3 linked regions of the Xenopus tropicalis genome follow. The main gene of each other region encodes a partner of the protein of the gene in region 3 in a complex. Links are inferred from orthologs where the notes say so. Each region holds a gene or a part of one and is shown on either strand. Other genes may lie near its edges.

The links.
Region 1: myo7b (region 3) and cdhr5 share a complex: the UniProt entries of both Homo sapiens proteins name them as parts of the IMAC/intermicrovillar adhesion complex. The link is inferred for Xenopus tropicalis from reciprocal best matches to the Homo sapiens genes MYO7B and CDHR5.
Region 2: myo7b (region 3) and cdhr2 share a complex: the UniProt entries of both Homo sapiens proteins name them as parts of the IMAC/intermicrovillar adhesion complex. The link is inferred for Xenopus tropicalis from reciprocal best matches to the Homo sapiens genes MYO7B and CDHR2.

What each region holds. Positions count from the first base shown.
Region 1 is NC_030680.2:31,974,620-31,980,274, reverse strand, and holds part of cdhr5 (cadherin-related family member 5), read right to left. Parts: intron 4,604-5,655; coding exon 4,506-4,603; intron 2,898-4,505; coding exon 2,691-2,897; intron 1,381-2,690; coding exon 1,264-1,380; intron 740-1,263; coding exon 673-739; intron 1-672. UniProt on the Homo sapiens protein: Intermicrovillar adhesion molecule that forms, via its extracellular domain, calcium-dependent heterophilic complexes with CDHR2 on adjacent microvilli. Thereby, controls the packing of microvilli at the apical membrane of epithelial cells.
Region 2 is NC_030679.2:47,448,866-47,454,520, forward strand, and holds part of cdhr2 (cadherin-related family member 2), read right to left. Parts: intron 5,617-5,655; 5' UTR 5,548-5,616; coding exon 5,545-5,547; intron 4,986-5,544; coding exon 4,922-4,985; intron 4,647-4,921; coding exon 4,572-4,646; intron 4,327-4,571; coding exon 4,187-4,326; intron 3,289-4,186; coding exon 3,235-3,288; intron 3,107-3,234; coding exon 3,017-3,106; intron 158-3,016; coding exon 68-157; intron 1-67. UniProt on the Homo sapiens protein: Intermicrovillar adhesion molecule that forms, via its extracellular domain, calcium-dependent heterophilic complexes with CDHR5 on adjacent microvilli. Thereby, controls the packing of microvilli at the apical membrane of epithelial cells.
Region 3 is NC_030681.2:125,544,926-125,551,207, forward strand, and holds the start of myo7b (unconventional myosin-VIIb), read right to left. Parts: upstream 3,973-6,282; 5' UTR 3,913-3,972; intron 946-3,912; 5' UTR 917-945; coding exon 899-916; intron 1-898. UniProt on the Homo sapiens protein: Myosins are actin-based motor molecules with ATPase activity. Their highly divergent tails are presumed to bind to membranous compartments, which would be moved relative to actin filaments.

The sequences.
Region 1 (5,655 bases), on a different chromosome or scaffold from region 3:
CTGAAAAGAAGTCCTGGCGGGCTTCATCCATCTATACAATTTTCTTGCACCAAATCCTAATTGGCATATGCTAATTAGATTTTGGAAGGATCATATCTGGGAAAAATTTTCAACTTCCGTGTTTACGTGACAAAAAGTCACATGATTTTTCAGATTCGGTTCGGCCAGAGGCATTGATTTGGCTGAATCCCGAACCGAATCCTGGATTCGGTGCATCCCTACTTTTTTATCAAAGTAAGTTCTGCCTGTGTAAGCCTGCATTCTTCATTGCATGAACCTTACGGCACACATGTACTGTTTGCAGATGTAAATGTCACTGAATATGTGTGAGAGGGAAGCTGGTATTTGTTTTAGGAAGATGGTGCTGGTGAATGAAGGGGATATATACAAATGGTGTGGTTTGGGAGTTGTGCCCACCTTATACACATGATAGGAAAAAGTGGGGTTACCATGTCTAACAGAATTCAAAGAATTCATAATTAACTTTATTAACAAAAATGGTATGAATTTTAAGTTTACAAAATGCATCTTTCTTACAAAGTATCCAGACTATAAATGGCACCTCATATATATGTATAAGTAGTGTATATGTATGCAAGCTTTGTGTAGTGGGTAGAAAGGAGACTTGTTGTTCAGTATTACTTCCCTTTGGAAAGCAAGAAAGAAACATACTTGGGGTGATTTCCACTTCAACATTAGTGATGTCCTCTTCTCTCGTCACGGTGTCAGTTGCCAGTACCTGCGTGAGAAAAAAAGAGTTAATTTATTTTTTGGTTTACCTTGTTGAAATCCAGCGGCCCCAAGTTCCAACTAGAAGACCTGGGCCCAACAGCCATTAGGAAAGTATTTCTAATTGTATTTTGTACCTTGAATTTATGGTAAATGAGCCTTTCTATGGAGAATATGGAACCTACTGTAGTTCCTTTCTTGTGAGCAATGCATAGGTAATGGTAATGTCTCCATTACAGGAGCTGGTACAAGTCGCACAGCGCAGCTTGCACCTTCCAATGGTACAGGTTGGTGTGCTTCAGTTTGTGTGTCCTGGTACCATTGATAAGAGAGGCCTGCAGTGTCTGTGCAGGCTGATTTCATACATAACCATGTTTAAAAAACATCATCTAGTTCTCCAGTTAAATTTTGGCCTTGAACCTAGATTTATATTCCACACTACTACACATCCGAATGTGCCTAAAAGAATTTAGTCTCCACCAGAAAAGAAAATAATGAAACCTTGAACAAATAATAATAACTGATAATACTTACAGTAAATGCTACTTTAGTTGGAGAGTTAAATACAGCATCGTTTTTTATAAATCCATTCCGGGACACTGAGAAATCAGTTGTGCCTTGAATTGTGTATGTGATATATGGATTCATCCGCTGAAATACAAACATTCACATTCAGATCAGTTCTCCTCTTTTGTATGCTTGTTAATTTGACCAGAGCAGTTGCACTTAACTTAAAGGGATACTGTCATGATTTTTATGGTGTATTTTTTATTTATAAATGACACTGTTTACATAGCTCATAATTCACTTTCTTGAACCAACAAATGTATTTTTTTTAGCTGTAATATTGGTGTGTAGGCGCCATCTCAGTGCATTGTGCCTGAGTCTGAGCTTTCAGAGGGAGCCAGCGCTACAGCCAGTGCTTTCAGCTAACCTATTGTTTCTCCTACTCCCATGTAACTGGAGGAGTCCCAAGCCAGACTTGGATTTCTTACTATTGAGTGCTATTCTAAAACCTGCTGGGAACTGCTATCTTGCTCCCTTCCCATTGTTCTGCTGATTGGCTGCTGGGAGGGGGTTATCACTCCAACTTGCAGCTCAGCAGTAAAGTGTGACTGAAGTTTATCAGAGCACAAGTCACATGACTGTGGCACCCTGGGAAATGAAGGATATTGCTAGTCTCATGTGAAATTTCAAAATTAAATATAAAAAATTCTGTTTGTGTTGTTGAATAACAGATTTCAATGCAGGATTCTGCAGGAGAAGCTCTATTAACTGATGGGTTTTGGAAAAAAACATGTTTTCCCATGACATTATCAATTTGAACTGTGCATCAAAATGGACACAACAATATGATGTACGAAATATCACGCAAAAGAGAATTTCAACCTTTGAAGTCATGGTTTTGAGATAAAAAGTGTCCAATAAGGACAAGCCTGCAATATTTGAACATCAAGTGGCCAGTCATGAGAATCTGTTTCCACCTTTTCAAGCTTGTTTAGAGACCCCAGACCAGTGGTCACACATCCAAAGTTGCTATGTTTCCCGTCCAGCCAATCTGTAAGTCCCAGTATTAGGAAGAACTGACTCCCATTACGCATGGCCAGTATTTGCTATTGTTACAATGCCTGTATGTATAAAGTTAGGTCTGGATGGATTTCATCTTCAAATTGTTTTACTCCAAGCAGAGCCTCCTGCAGGCTAGCACTCCACATGGGGCTACCAAATAGCCAATCACAGTCCTTATTTGAAATCCCCAAAGAGCTGTTTTCATGGTTGTGTGGCTCACCAACACTTTTTACTGCTGAGTGTGACTCACGGGTAAAAAAGTTGAGCGTTCCCTGCTCTAAATATAGCTACATAATAACTGTAAGGGAAATATGTAAAAAAAGAAATATTAAAAATGATAAAGCCTGTCTCCCCTGCTGCAAGGAAAACTAGCTGATATACCAGTAACCTACATCTTCAAAATCTTCATCTGCAGCAAACACTTGTAGGAGTCTGTTGGGGCTACTGGAATCGGTAACAGATGTGCCAGTGGCAGACTGAACCTGGATTGTTCCAAAATAATTTTGCTTTTCAAACTTTGGAGGGTGGTGGTTTCTTTCCACAACATCAATTGTCAATGAAGTAGTTGCAAATTTCTGTCCATCATTAACTTGGGCAGCCTGAGTGAGACAGAAGTGGCAAAAGACCAACAAATTACTAAGGAAATGAACATTCCATTGATGAGTTAACCAAGCCCACATACAGGAGAGCTCAGGGTTGGACTGGGCCAGCGGGGCACCGGGAAAAAACACGGTGGGCCCGCTGGCCCAGACCCGATCCCCATGGCGCTCCCCCACCAGAAGATCTCCCTAAGGTAATATTAAAAGCAGGTGAACTCGGAGGAGGGAGTTGTGCGGGCGGCAGGGGCCCCCGGGGTAGGGGTTGTGGGGCCAGGCCAGGGCACCCCTTTAACAGGAGCCCCGTTGGGCCCTGAACCCCCCAGTCCGACCCTGGGAGAGCTACCTTTTACCCTAGTGAGGCTGCAATCTGCTTGTCCAGGCTGTATATTCATTTTGGCAGTGTAATACATAAGAACTTTCTTTTGCTACACAGCATGCACCAATGATAGCCAGCAGGGGACCCCAGAAACTGCTTTTAAGTCTGGATCAAAGTGGCTGGATTAAAGAGGATGTTCATCTTCAGACAACAGTCTGGATTTGAACAGCCCCTGTGGGAAAAAAACATTTTTGCAAATCATCTTTATTATTTTAAATGTTTAGTTTTGAACCTACAGACCATATAAGCTTTGGATCAGCACTGCTAAAATTCTCACTGATCTGCTCTGTGCTCTCTCTGCAGGGGACTTCCCAGACAAGGATTTGGCAGGCAGCAAAATAAAAAAAAAAGTTCACTCTGAACTGGTTCTTGTTCTTCCCTCCCCTTTTTTTCCATATCTTTGATACAATTGGCTAGGAAGTTTTAGCCAATCAGATCAATGAAAAACAACTTCCTGTTAGGGCAGAATGCAAGTGAGTGTGGCCGATCCCCTCCAAAGAGAGAACAGAGAGCAGAGGAGAAAGAGCTTTAGCAGTGCTGATCCTGGTCTGTGGCTTGAAAACTATACATTACAAATATATATTTATATGGTGATTGAATAATACTGCCTTTATATGCTTACAGATTAAGTGACACTTTTACATACTTTTTTTATACTCAGTTGAAGTGGGTTAATTTTGTGCATTGTAGGGACATTGTTTTTATGTATACTTATGTACTGGTTGTCAATTAATTGTAATAGTAAAAGCCTTAATAAGGGATATTTAGTCACACTTTGAAGTTCCAAAGTTGCTAAGTTATCAGTGTATTTGGTGAAGAAGGGTATGAGGCCTTGATTGGCCCATATAGTTATTCTTTGAGTCACACATTTATCAATTCATTTATTTATTCATGTATTCGTGGGCTAATGAATTAGGCTGTTAGTATATTGCTGGAGTGAGAAACTTTGAGATTCTTATTGCCATCTAGAGAGACTTTATTTTTATATCAGTGTTTTATTAAAGCAGAAAAGCAATATATTATCATAAAAAGGGTATGCTCTCTTTTTATAGTCAATAAAATAATAAAGCTGTGGTTTGACATATGCAATGTTCTCCTTGAGAATTTCTCCTTGAGGTTAGGTGGTTTGGTGGCAAGAAGAAATATATTAAGGCCAATAGGTATAAAATATACCCTCTTCCTTTTTGACATAAGCTCAAACTCATGGGCAAGCAGAGAAACTTACTACTTACCATAATCTGCAAAAATATTATCCCCAAAGTATCTGCTGCTTTAGTCATTGTTATATTTCCACTAAATTTATCCACGGCAAATATTCCTGCATCATTCCCTAGGGATACATAAAAAAAATATATAAATATGTTTTCTAAATCAGGGCAACAACAGTCTAACTGCTCTGCTCATTCTTTGTGCTTTTTAATACTTTAAATCTCAGGATTACACAGCTGAAGGTATACGGGCCAAACACAACCTTTCAAGGAAATGATATAGCCCCCCAACCAACCTGAGAATAATATTTTCGTGATGTCATAATTTTGGTTGGATTAAAGCCCTCAAATCTGTGAATATGTCTTTATATACACCACATGGGCAAAAGTATTTGGAAATACCTTCTATTTATTGTAAAGGGATATTTAAGCCACAGCCATCATTGCTGGCACTACATCATATTTTTAACAATGTTGTGCTTTTTACTTTGCGGCAAAAAGTAATGAAGGCCCTTTGTGTTCCTGCCAAACAATACCACGCATGCACATAGTAAGGTCCATACAGAATTGGGTTGCAGAGATGGGAGTGGAGGAACTTGATGGCCCTGCACAGAGCCTGGACATCAGCCCAACTGAACATGCTGCATAAGCTGTGAGATGAACTGGAATATAAACTATGAGCCCGGCCCCCTCACCCAACATCGGTGCACAACCTTACTAATTCTCTTCCCAGTAGAGTAGAGGGAAGCAAAGGGATGAATTAATCAATACCCTTGGTTTGGGAATAAATTGTTGGACAGGTATACTTCCACATAGTTTTGTCCATGTATCATAACACTTTGCTATGAGAAGCTGTTGTCAGAATATTTAGAAAAGAGAAAAAAGCGAACATGTTTAGGTGCTCAATGAGCCCCTAAAACTGTCTCACTGCAACAGTTGTACAATAGCCCACTGTTACTGCGAAAAAGTTTTTAGTATAAAAATAATATTTCCTATTGAGGAATCCTTTACAGAATTTATAAAGTTTTACCTTTCCAAACAGTATTTTAGTGAACACCTGTACCAACTTAGTTATCCAGGTTGATTATTATAGTTTGGATCTCCCACTCAAGGTTTTTGAATGATCACTAAGACTAAAGAAAATGTATCAGAGATGAATTTTAAAACCTTGCTT
Region 2 (5,655 bases), on a different chromosome or scaffold from region 3:
ACAATAAATTGCCTGGTCATAGTACATAGTACATCTTAGTCAAACGTTTTACTACTCATTATCTTACCTCATCAATGGAATATGTCACTGGAACTCTTCCATCATCATCAAAATCTACTGCACTGACACTAAAAACAATGGAGCCCAATGGCTGATCCTGTCAAGGAACATACTGTGAATAATTCCTGATCACAAATGAATTTGAGAGAATCATGCGTGTATATTTGTAGCAATTCTGTTCTTCAATCTGTTTGCTTCTCTGTCTATCCATTACCTATTTATCTCTCTCTCTCTCTATTTATTGATCTATGTTTCTATATCTGTCTCTATATCCATTGTAATCTACAGGTAATTGTGCTAGGGTGCATCAAGTGGAGTCCTGGTACACTTATGAAAATCTTACAATCTGCTGCTATTGAGGATGCAGTAATAGAAGTAAACTTTAGATATAATAATTATGGTTAATGTTCTATCTATCTATCTATCTATCTATCTATCTATCTATCTATCTATTTATTTAAATGACAGATGAAATCATGTTTTATTGTTGTTATTAAAGGGCCAGTATACTCCAATATTTAGAATAACTGCAATGAATAGGGCTTGTGCTAAACATATTTTTGCCTGTTTAATCAAAACATCTATGGTTTTTGTCTTTTGATAAACAGGGCAACACAGAGAAAACTGAAGCTACTCAGTGTATGGTCCTTGAGAAGTAGATAATTAGATCACAAGTGAACAGATAATACCCATACATATTGGACTTCTGCTAACAAAACAGTCACAAAAATGGTGACAAGAGGGGTTTGTATTGTGGTAATAGTAAAACAGTACCTTGTACTTGATCCTAACTAAGCCTCACAAAACCACTCTAAGTCGATTATATTCTCTATAGACCCCCTACCCCCAGAAACTCCTGACCACATAGCACAACTACAAGTTGTGACCTCATTCAATACCCTGGTATTAGTGTACATAAGGACCTAAATAGATATGAACAATTAAACATAAATCCAGTGGTACAAGCTTGTTTCCATATGGCAAGACCTGCCTTTCTCCCTCCCTGGCAGAATCCATATTTTCAAAAATTATTTTTCTCCCCAAGTTCTTATCCGCCCTACACAATTCCCCTATTACTCCCTGAGTGCAATGGTTTAGTGGAGTGGATAAAATAATTAGGGGATTTTTGTGGGCAGGAGACCTTTCACGTCTGAATATCAATGTATTGCAGGCACCTTCCTCTGGAGGACCCCAACATTAATAATCCTGCAGTGGTCCTAGAGGCTGCTACATTAGGTTCATATGAGGCCATGTCTAATCTTCTCTTTCTATGCCACTACACCCTCCATGGCTACAGTAGTTTGGGCCTTCCAGAAATCACAGAAGCTGGCCCAACATATGACCTACTGTGACAAGAGGTGCATCCCCCTCTAACATGCTTTATAGATTCCTGCAGCTATGCCATGCCTTCAATATCCAATTTCCTGCAAGGCCTTTTAGGGTAGCTCAAACAACCCTGAAGTCCTGTCTCCACAGACAGGACCTGACAAAACCCTTTCTTGGTTTTACATGATACTGTCTCCCTCAGACTCTTCCCCTTTACAGAAAACCAAGATCAAATGGCTGTGATATCCCTGCGCTTGATGATGAGAGGGGTCTGATGAGGGATATATATATTCAGATAAAATTTTTAAATAGAGAATACTTAACCCCCTACCGCCTGGCCAAAATCTATCTATAAAAATGTGTCCAATGTCCCAAGTGCAGAAGCGAAGTAGGCACTGTTTCATGTTTTATGGTCCTGTCCAGTGATACAGAGATTCTGGGGTGAAGTGTTACCGTTTCTTTCTTTTTTTTAATTTTAAAGTTTTTATTGATTTTTATAATTGAAGAAATAGAACAATCAACTTATTTGTCAAACATTTAGACAGCTTTTCTAACTTTTATACAATAAAGTCTTCAACACTGATAACATATTGACTTTGTGCTTCTTTTTTCCTTTTGTTTTCGCGATTATTTCTCATTTCTAGCGGGCTGTGGTTGACTGAGTAGAAAGGGTGATAGGGTAAGTGGGATAGGATTGGAGGGATAGGGTGAGTGGGGTGTGCTACTGTTTCTTAATGAGAAGCTTGCCTTCCCAAATATTCGCTCTCCAGAACTGTGTCTGCTAGGACTGACTGGAAACTTGTAACTCCGTTCTTACTCTAGACCATATATGTCAAACACAAGGCCCGCGGCCGAATCTGGCCCACCTGGCTGTTTTATGTGGCCCTGACCATCAAGCCTGATCAATTTCCATTTTCCTCACATAGTAACTAAGACTAAGGGGTATATTTATCATGCTGTGTAAAAAGTGGAGTGAAGGATTACCAGTAATGTTGCCCAAGGCAACCAATCAGTAATCAGATTTCAACAGTAGCAAAGCATCTGATTGGCTGCCATAAGCAACATCACCAGTAATGTCTTACTCCACTTTTTACACATTGTGATAAATATACCCCATAGTATCTTACTAAGTATATTAATAAAAAATTTGGCCCGCGACTTAGCCTGTGTTTTAGATTTTGGCCCCCTTATGTGATTGAGTTTGACACCCCTGCTCTAGACTGTGCTATTTGCAGTTGCGAAAATTGGTGGATGATTTTCTTCCCAGCCAGACTGACTTATCTAGCAAGAGGGTGCCCACAGAAATTTAACGCCATAACTATTAATCCTGTACACCCATAACTGCTACCTTAGCCTCACCCCCCCCCCCCCTCTTTTTCTCCCTGTCTTTCTCTTGCTTGTTTTTCCAGAAAATAACAAAAAAACATGGATTTATTGTGATTAAACTAATGGGCAGAAAATAAGTTCAGCACAAGCCCTATTCATTGAACGCATGTTGGAAAAAGATATACACTGCCCCTATATTGTTTTTTTTCTCCCTTTCTTTATGTTAATAAAGAAAAAAGAAAACAGAATAAAAAAAAGAAGTTTCATAGAAAACAGATGGGACTGGCACTATGTGTGAACATACCTCCCGGATACTGGCTTCATAAGGAATACCTAAGAACACCGGATCATTATCATTGCGATCCTCTACTATAACTGGAAATTGTCTGATAACCTATGGGGGAAAAAGCCAAGGTAAAAAACATTTATTGCAAAGACAAAACTAATTTCCACAGCCCAAAAAAAAAAATTTGCAGATGCAAATAAAGAAACCAGGAATAGGATCTTGTATGACATACTTACTGGCCTATTGATTTCATCTTGCACCTTGATCATAGTGTTGAGTTTGTTTTTGCTCTTAAAAAATAAAATATGTATGTTAGATCATTTATACCTGCACTTACAACTTTACGACTTTTGTGAATATAACAGTCAGAGAAAAGGCATGTGAAGACTGTAGTGACATCTAGGAAGTGCAGAAATGAAAATGAAAGTAATTGCTGTGCCCAGGACAAAGAGGCAGGGCAGGCAATATATGATTGGCAGATGATATTTTTAAATGACTGTATAACAGGTATGGATGTTTAAATTAAAAAATAATTTGGGTTTCATGTTTAATTTGAAAAGGGCTTTTATTTTACTGTTTTTTATGGCTGGAAAACAGGTCTCCTTTAATTGGGGCAAATAAACTTATCGTCCGACACAAAATTAAGGATGAATAAAATAATGTGACACATCTACCCTGTTTAGGATTATCAGTGACCCAAGATTCCCATACCTTTAGAAATATACTTCCTATTTTATTAGGTTTAATCAAGTCCAAATAATAATTAAGTACTCTTACTTTCATTGTGGAGGTCTTCCAAGTTTAAATTTATTATTTGTAAAGGTATTTCATTCAAGAGAGATCTATCTATATTTCTATTAGGGAGCTTGCACAAGATAGTAGGGAACATATGATAAATAAGGTATAAATATTTGGATTAATTTGTAAATAAAATGTTTCATGTGGACAGTACCTGCAATGCAGGTATATTCCCTATAAATCATATACAAACATTGTGTTAACTAGAGATTGCAGGTGAAGGCACTTTGTGCATCACTTTGGAGCCCCAGAACATTCCCAATAGTTAGGACTGAAGCTTCACTGAAAGCCAATAGCTGACAACCTAAAGGTACAGTGCCATGAACTGGTACATTGTAAAATCTGGGATAATATTTTTCTTAGAAGTTGTACTAAGTACTGAAAGCCTACCTCATAATCTAAGGGAAGTGCTAACTGCACCTCCCCAGTCATCAGATTGACATTAAAATAATAGGAGTCTTGTCCTTCCATACTATATGTCAAAGGATCATTATCTGCATCTCTTGCCACAATCCAGAAGACACACTTACCTAATGGAAAAAAATACAACATGGCAATTAACCAGTCTATATAATGACATCACTGAGAGTCCAACTGTGTAACAGGATATACTAATATATGTGCATGGTTATGAAAGCTGTACGGGGGCAAGTGGCAACAGAAACAAAAACAATTACAGTTGCCCCCCTCTTCACTCACAGATCTCAGAGCAGAGGGAATTTTATAAAAACAAATTAATATTGTGTTAATTAATATAGCTTTGTTAAACACTCACCCAAAGGAGTATCTTCTGGTATGAAGGCAGAAGTCATATTTGATGCAAACTCAGGAGCTGTATTCTGAGAAGAAACTGGGAAAAAAATGTGTGTTTTAGGCATAATATCACTGTGTGTGTATTACTAGGTTGTTGTCCTAACAGCTGACCAATCACAAGCTAAATTAATGGTGCGAGAGTAATGGCTGCTTATGAAAATAGGATTTGCTTAGATATGGTACTTTGCAGAATCTAAAAATGACTTAAAAAATACACACAACAAATGCAATTTTAATAGCAGTGGAAATGGCCAGCAAGTGACTTAAGGAATAAAATATATATTTAGTGTTAGAGGTGGGCAGATATCTCACCTGTCACCATGAATACTAATGGCAACAGAAGCTGAATCCACATCATTTTTCTACAAAAGGAATCCTGGGAACAAAAGAAAAGAAATACAACATATAAATTTACTTTACTTGAAACTGGATGAGTACCGCTTTTTAGGGAAAATGGACCATACAAGTCCTAGCACACTAAAAATGCTATTAAGAGTAAAAGAATACTGACAAATGTAGTCTACAGATGAATCCTTAAAGTAAAACTAATCAATAAAGCCTTTCCCTACCTCTGAAGGAACAGCAACCTATTTAATTTAAGGATCCTGTCTGCCCGTGTACAAGCCTGCTCCCTTTTCTTATTATATCAACAAGCTGCAAAAAATTTCACTATGTTAGATACAGTGAGATGGCTGATATTGAGCTGGTAGGGATTATTTAAACAGAAGAATACTTGTGCATCTCTAATTACATGTTTAATAACTAAATTCATACCTTAGGGGATGCAGTACATGATACTACGTTTTACAAAGTTTTTTCATTGAGGTTACCCTACTCGTAAATTCCTAAAAGTAAGCATCATTCCCCTGCTTTTAGCCAAATAAAAAGTAGCATAAAGATTGCCCTGTTTGCAAGTACATATTCATGCTACTTACCATTTGAATCCTGCACTTTCTGAGTGTTCCTGCTCTGTTGTGAGGCACAGTGCCTCAGTCCCAGGATGGGTCCTGTAACAGTAAAAATGTATCTCTGTAAAGGCTTTGTGA
Region 3 (6,282 bases):
AGTACCGATCATTACGAAAAAAACAAATTCGGACGCTTTTCGGACATTCGTGGATTAGTAAATGTGCCCCTTAGACAAGCTAAATATCGCTTTTGTCTGTGCAAAAATGAACACCTACTTGAAGCAGGCAGTAATTATAGAAAAATACAGTTAATGAGCTTTTGGCTCAAGTCATATGGACTTTGCAGTGGGATTTATTCAAGTCTGTGTTGGCCCCAGAGTGCTGCAGCCTCCAGTTTGCAGGGAAATGGTCATTTTCATAAAAGTAGTTTTACAAAAGTAATGCCGTGTATGGCTAATATGGCGTGCATTTTTTCGCAGGCGGCGACTATTTGTGCACGATGCGTTCCGTCAAATATCGCACGAAAATAGTCTTCACGACTTAAATAACGCAAGCAGCATCGCGTCTAAATTAACGCAAATATCCTTTTAGTGAACCGTGCGTTAAGACACAAAAAATTAGACGCAATAAAAATTTTAACGCATGCTATAAATAGCGCACGTTTTAACGCACTTTAGTGAATCAACCCTACAGTGTCTTGTAGCCTGTCAGAACTATACACACTGTCAGAAATACACACTGTTCCCCAGTTAGAGCAGAAGAGCCCAGAAGTGGCTTGGATATTGGCTACAATTTTCAAGCCTGAAAAAAACCCTATTGGGTGTCTAAACACAAGATTTGGAAGAAAAAAACTCCTCATTAAAGCAGAAAGGGAAAAGATGGAATGGAGGTTCATTCTTTTACACATGGAGCGTGAACTCTTTATTAACTCTTTATGAACTCTTTATTAACTTAATCTAATAACTTACTGGAGGAGCAGAGGAAATTATTTCAGTCCCCCTCCTACAGTATGATATAAAGATTCAACTAGTAAAGAAAAGTTAGCACCCATCCTACCTGCCGCAGGATAACCATTGCTCATCAGGGTTTTTTCTTCTTGTCACCTTTAAAAAAAAAAAAAATTATTAGAGTATTATGTCTCTCTAGTAGTTGTTTTTAGGAAATCTGATATTGGAAGTGTATACGAGGTTAAGTGGTAATTGCCATAGTATCTTACAATTTAATAATAACATATAATAACAGAAAAACAGCACAAAATTAATCTTTCTTGCACTTTGGCCCCAGTAATTCAGGGTGGAACAGGGTCACTAGACATTACACATAAATCTTGACTGTTCTATGGCAAGTGATCCTGTTTACCACCATATATTCTATTAATTGATGGCTTAAATTTACAGCTCATTTATGTGCACAAGAGGAGAGTGCAAAGTACAATTTCAGGAAAAAATGCACAATTGCATGTGCATGTCAATGTAAATCTATTAAAATATTTTCTGTCATAGCAATGTTGTTTCTGAATGATGTCTTAACTTGATTCATTAGGCGCAGCTTTGCTGTGTCTATAGAGGCGGGCTGCTGTGGGAAGCCTGGAGCCTTTACATCAATAGGCACACTTGTGCACAAATGGACATTCAGCTCTCAGAGGTGAAACGCAAGGAGCAGCAAGTACCTTTTATGAATGGTGCCGATATAGTGCAATGACTGTACCTTATTTCTTGAAGTCACTGCTGCTGTTGCAATCATAAGCCCTAAGATGTTGCCTTAAAATATTTATTATGGATTCTGCAATCTTGCAAGATTCCATTATCTATACACTTGCTTTTCCCCCTCCCTTACAGCTAAGGACAAGGAAGCTGTGTTTTAAATTCTCAGCTTATATCTAATGACCTGTATTTACCTGCAGTTTTCAAACATTTTGTTCATGTGTTATGCTGCCTATTTCTCTAAAACACCACCTTAAAGGGGACGTGTTGTGTAAAAAACAAGAATGTGCCTTAAAAAGCTGCCTTTTATGGTTATTTATTATAGTCCAAAAGTCTCCAAAAACCCTACTAGTCCCAACCATCTGTTCCACTTCCTGCTGCCTCCTTTTCCAGGCTGTGCAGCAGTTAGAACAACACTACAGGTGGCACTTAGCGCTGTAGGATAGCAACCAATAAGCAGCTAGGAAGACCTGATAGGGAACTGAAGCCTAGCTTTGCTTGGGTGACTTCAGGGCTGTGATTGGCTATCCTCCTTCTACTGAGCTTCTGGCAGGAACTACTGGGACATGCCCACCCCTCAATAAAACATGGACAGGGATCGTAACAAATCGATGGGTAGCTTCAATAAAGGGGCCATATTTAAAGATAATGATAATTTGTAGCATTATTATTAGTATTCCTTATTAGCTACAAGATTGGGGACAGGGGTCAGTAATGCCATAAATCACAAATTAGAAGCCCAACATTTTACTATACTCTGTGTTTACTGTCCTTTTGCTTAGTTCAAAATGTGACATAATGTATTTTATAACTGAAACCTTGCCTACTTTTGAGAATGTTGTCTAAATCCCATGAAATACTCTGCACTGAACTGCTAAAAGCTTGTAGCTGCCTAGAAAAATTGTTATGGTTTTTAGGAGGGCAAAATGCCTGGACTACAAAAATCTATAGTTAACTGCTTGGCAAAACTATGGTTCATGTACGACTGCAAGTGCAGTCATTAAAGGTACTTGCATCACATGGTGCTCCTTGCACTTTGATATAATTCAGTCCTTCATGCTTTCATTCCAAACTCCACACTTATGATTTGCATCAGGGAAAAAGTGATAGTGCCCAGAGGTATTACTAAACTGCCCTGAATACTTTCACCCAATAGAGCAAAACAGTGTTTGCCTGCTCGAAGCAGTGAAACACATTCTAACCAACTGACATGTATCAGGTTTGATAAATGCCCTGGCCCAAAGGTTTACTTTGCTTATGTATCTATAATCTTTGTGGGGAAATAAGGGGAGAATAAGCAACATTACTGAAAAAAGACTGTGCAACCCTAAAGCATGGCTTCTATTATTTTTATTATAAAAAGTAAATTTCAAGCAGTGTGCCTTGTTTGGGTCTCCTCAAACTACATAATACTTAGGTACTGCTTAAAATAAACAAATATACAGGTAAATTACTAATCATCAATGAAGACAATGTCTACATTTTTATTTACTAACACTACACTGTACTGTATTCATCGCATTAAAGGGATGATTTATTTAAGTTCACTCTCCCACAGACCAAGATTTTTACATTTTAGCCATTATTTTTGCCAAGGCTTTTTTTTGTCCATGGAAGCCTTGTACGGTGTGAGATATATTTTCACATTCTAGAAATTCACAAAAAAAATTCTACAAATGTTTCTCATAATTGAGATCAGTCAAGAAAAAACAAGATAGATATATACATTTTGATAAATATGCTTAAGGCAATGGCAGGCCCAGATGTGCCCTTGTGTCATGGTATCCATAAGTAATAAGCTAACTTAAAATGAAAACTTATATACATATATATATATATATACATATAAAGTGACAATTACATTTTAATATATTAAACATTGATGTGGTAAAGAAATACCTTCAGATAAGCGTACAAATGACCAAGTGATTTATGTAATTATCCATTAACTAATGCTAGTACTTGGTGTGTTTTCTCCACCGGCACATCCTGATGAGTCTGACACCGCCCCTGCCTTTTCCCACTGCCTTGAAATTCTAGTGCCAGCATGGAAGCTTTGCAGCGAGAAGATGAGCTAGTGACTGTTTCCCAATGAAGTCTATGGATGCCGGGAGGGTCAGTCACTGCCAGATGAAATACACCAATAAAGGAACTGCCCTGTGTGACATAAGACTAACATTCTGATCTTTTATCAGCCATTTGGTACTAATCTGCCATGATCTATAACAGTACAGAAACAAGCTAAAACCAAATGTTTCAAATAGCTCAGTAACGAAATTCAGTCCTATTTTTTATTTTTACTACTTGAAACAAAATTTGAAGATAAAAAGTTCATCCCTATAAACCTTGCTATTAAGAAATGCTTACCTTCTAGGTGTGTTGCTGGATTGAGAATTTGCGGAGCAAGAACTGTTGGGAGGAATGACTTCTCTTTATGACTGGACTTTGGTCACCGTTCTGCAAATAACCTTTTTTTTTTCGCATCTAATTTGCCTAATTATAACTTGAACGAAAAGTAATTCCCTAGAGCTTTTCTAGTTTAAATTATTGCAGCTCTGAAAGTTATAAATCTGCAGGGTAAGATTTTCTAGAAAAATGTGTTTTACACTGCATGCACCATTACACTGGACATGGTATTTGACATATCAGTTTTTATTCTGGACTACCACTGCTACGGTTACCGCTTCTAGCTACTTTGCATACAAAGCACTGAAAGGTGTTTATCTTTTAGCACTGAGCCCAGTCCCTTTATAAAAGCCTTCCCTTCCTCTCAGGTCAGCAGCATTCTCAAGAAACTTCACAGGATTCAGTGTTTTAGAAATACAGGGCATATTTATCAAATATATTTGTCAATCGACATGGTCCACAAGAGCTCAGTATTCATTTCTATATAATTTTAGGGGCATATTTGTCAAATATTAAACTCTATTTTCATCCGCTTCATCAGTTGATAAATATGCCCCTTAAAATCCTATACAAGTGGACAGAAAGCTATAGAGTTTCTTCCTTGCAAAGTGTGAACTCTATTTTCCCCATTATAAAATGTGTCCCTAAATACAAAACAAAATATCTTTTATATTTTTTAACAAAAGTTGATAATTATTATGATTCCAATCAGCATTATGATATTATATGTATATATGTATAACTTTATTTATAAAGCACCACAAGGGTACGCAGCGCTGTAAAATCTTACAAAATACAAAATTACACACAGTGAGGACAAATGTTATAATAAATAAATACAATAAATATATATAAATGCACAGGGAATAAGTACCATGTGGTATGAGACACAGTAGGTAGGAGGTCCCTGCCCCGAAGAGCTTACAGTCTAAGTCTATTATATAATGTTGAATACAATGTATTAAATGTTTGCATCAGTTTCTTTGTAGAAATGTAATTTCACTTGAAACGTAATAGGAGGGCAGAAAAGATGAACCACACCGTGTGTGTTTTATGAGTGTATTATATATTATATCATGGTTCATTAACCAAATCTATATTGCCTTGAGGGTGGGAAGCTTGCAATCAATGATTTATTTATTAACTAGTTGAAGCAATGACCTTTACCCAGTTCATCTGAGTAAAATACGTCTTCAGCACAAGCACAGGAGACTGACGCCTCAGCATGTCTGTTCTATACATGTATCCAGCTAAAGGTGTATGATGTTGTCTGCTTGCAATTTACATGTTGCCGGAATTAACGTACATAATAACTAGGTTGTAAACTTTGAATTACAAACAGGAACAGCACCACAGATATGCATGTTCTAGACAAGCACCAATTTTACAATAATGCTGTAAGGGGTAAAACTTTTATTTCAACAATTGTGTTTAATTCTTTGTCCCTGCTGCATCTGACAGTCTGATCTCCAATCATGGAGAAATAAGGGTGGTCGAAAGTCAAGCTCTTTACTTTCTGCAGCAGGAGCTATTTGGAAACCAAGACACATTGCACCTCACACTGATGTTACTCTTTGCAGCCTGGTTTTTAGCTGGCTCCCACTGCAGAGAGGAGAGAGCAGCCTTAACTGTGCATGAACTATGGCTCCAAAACCTCAGTATATAACTTTTGTTTATAGTAATATGTTATTTCTAAAAGGGTTCTCATTCATTAACTGTTTCAAATATGCTCTTTACACATATTTATTCACTTAGATAACAATTGGTTATTATAAGGGGCCGTAGGCACTTATTAGAATGTGCATTAAAGGGATATTGTCATGATTTTGATGGCATAGCTTTTAATACTATATTACACTGTTTTTCTTGCAAATAATTCATTTTACCTTTTAAATTTATTTTCAAACAAACTAATGTTTATTTTTAGTTTTAATAATGGTGTGTGGGCAGCCATCTCTGGTTATTTTGCATGAAACTGTGCTTTCAGAAACAGTCAGGCATGTTCTTTGAGGCAGCTACTGTATTCGCTATTCAGTTGTTATCTTCTTATAATATACTAGAGCTTTTCCTCCTATGTCTCCTGCTGGTTGCCATTTGGTGGAGCATGGATGAACCACTTGGTGGAGCATGGATGAACCACTAATCATATGTGGATCAACAATTCCTTGAGCTGTGCCAGTCCAAACCTGATCCGTTTAGTCCTGGCCCAGCTCGCTGTACCGCTACTGTATATATACCTGACCTGCCCATTTCTGATGTCAGAAAGGGGAGCAGGGTGGGCAGACATGAGGATATTAAAGATAGGACCATGGAAACTGGAGCCCGGGAGAC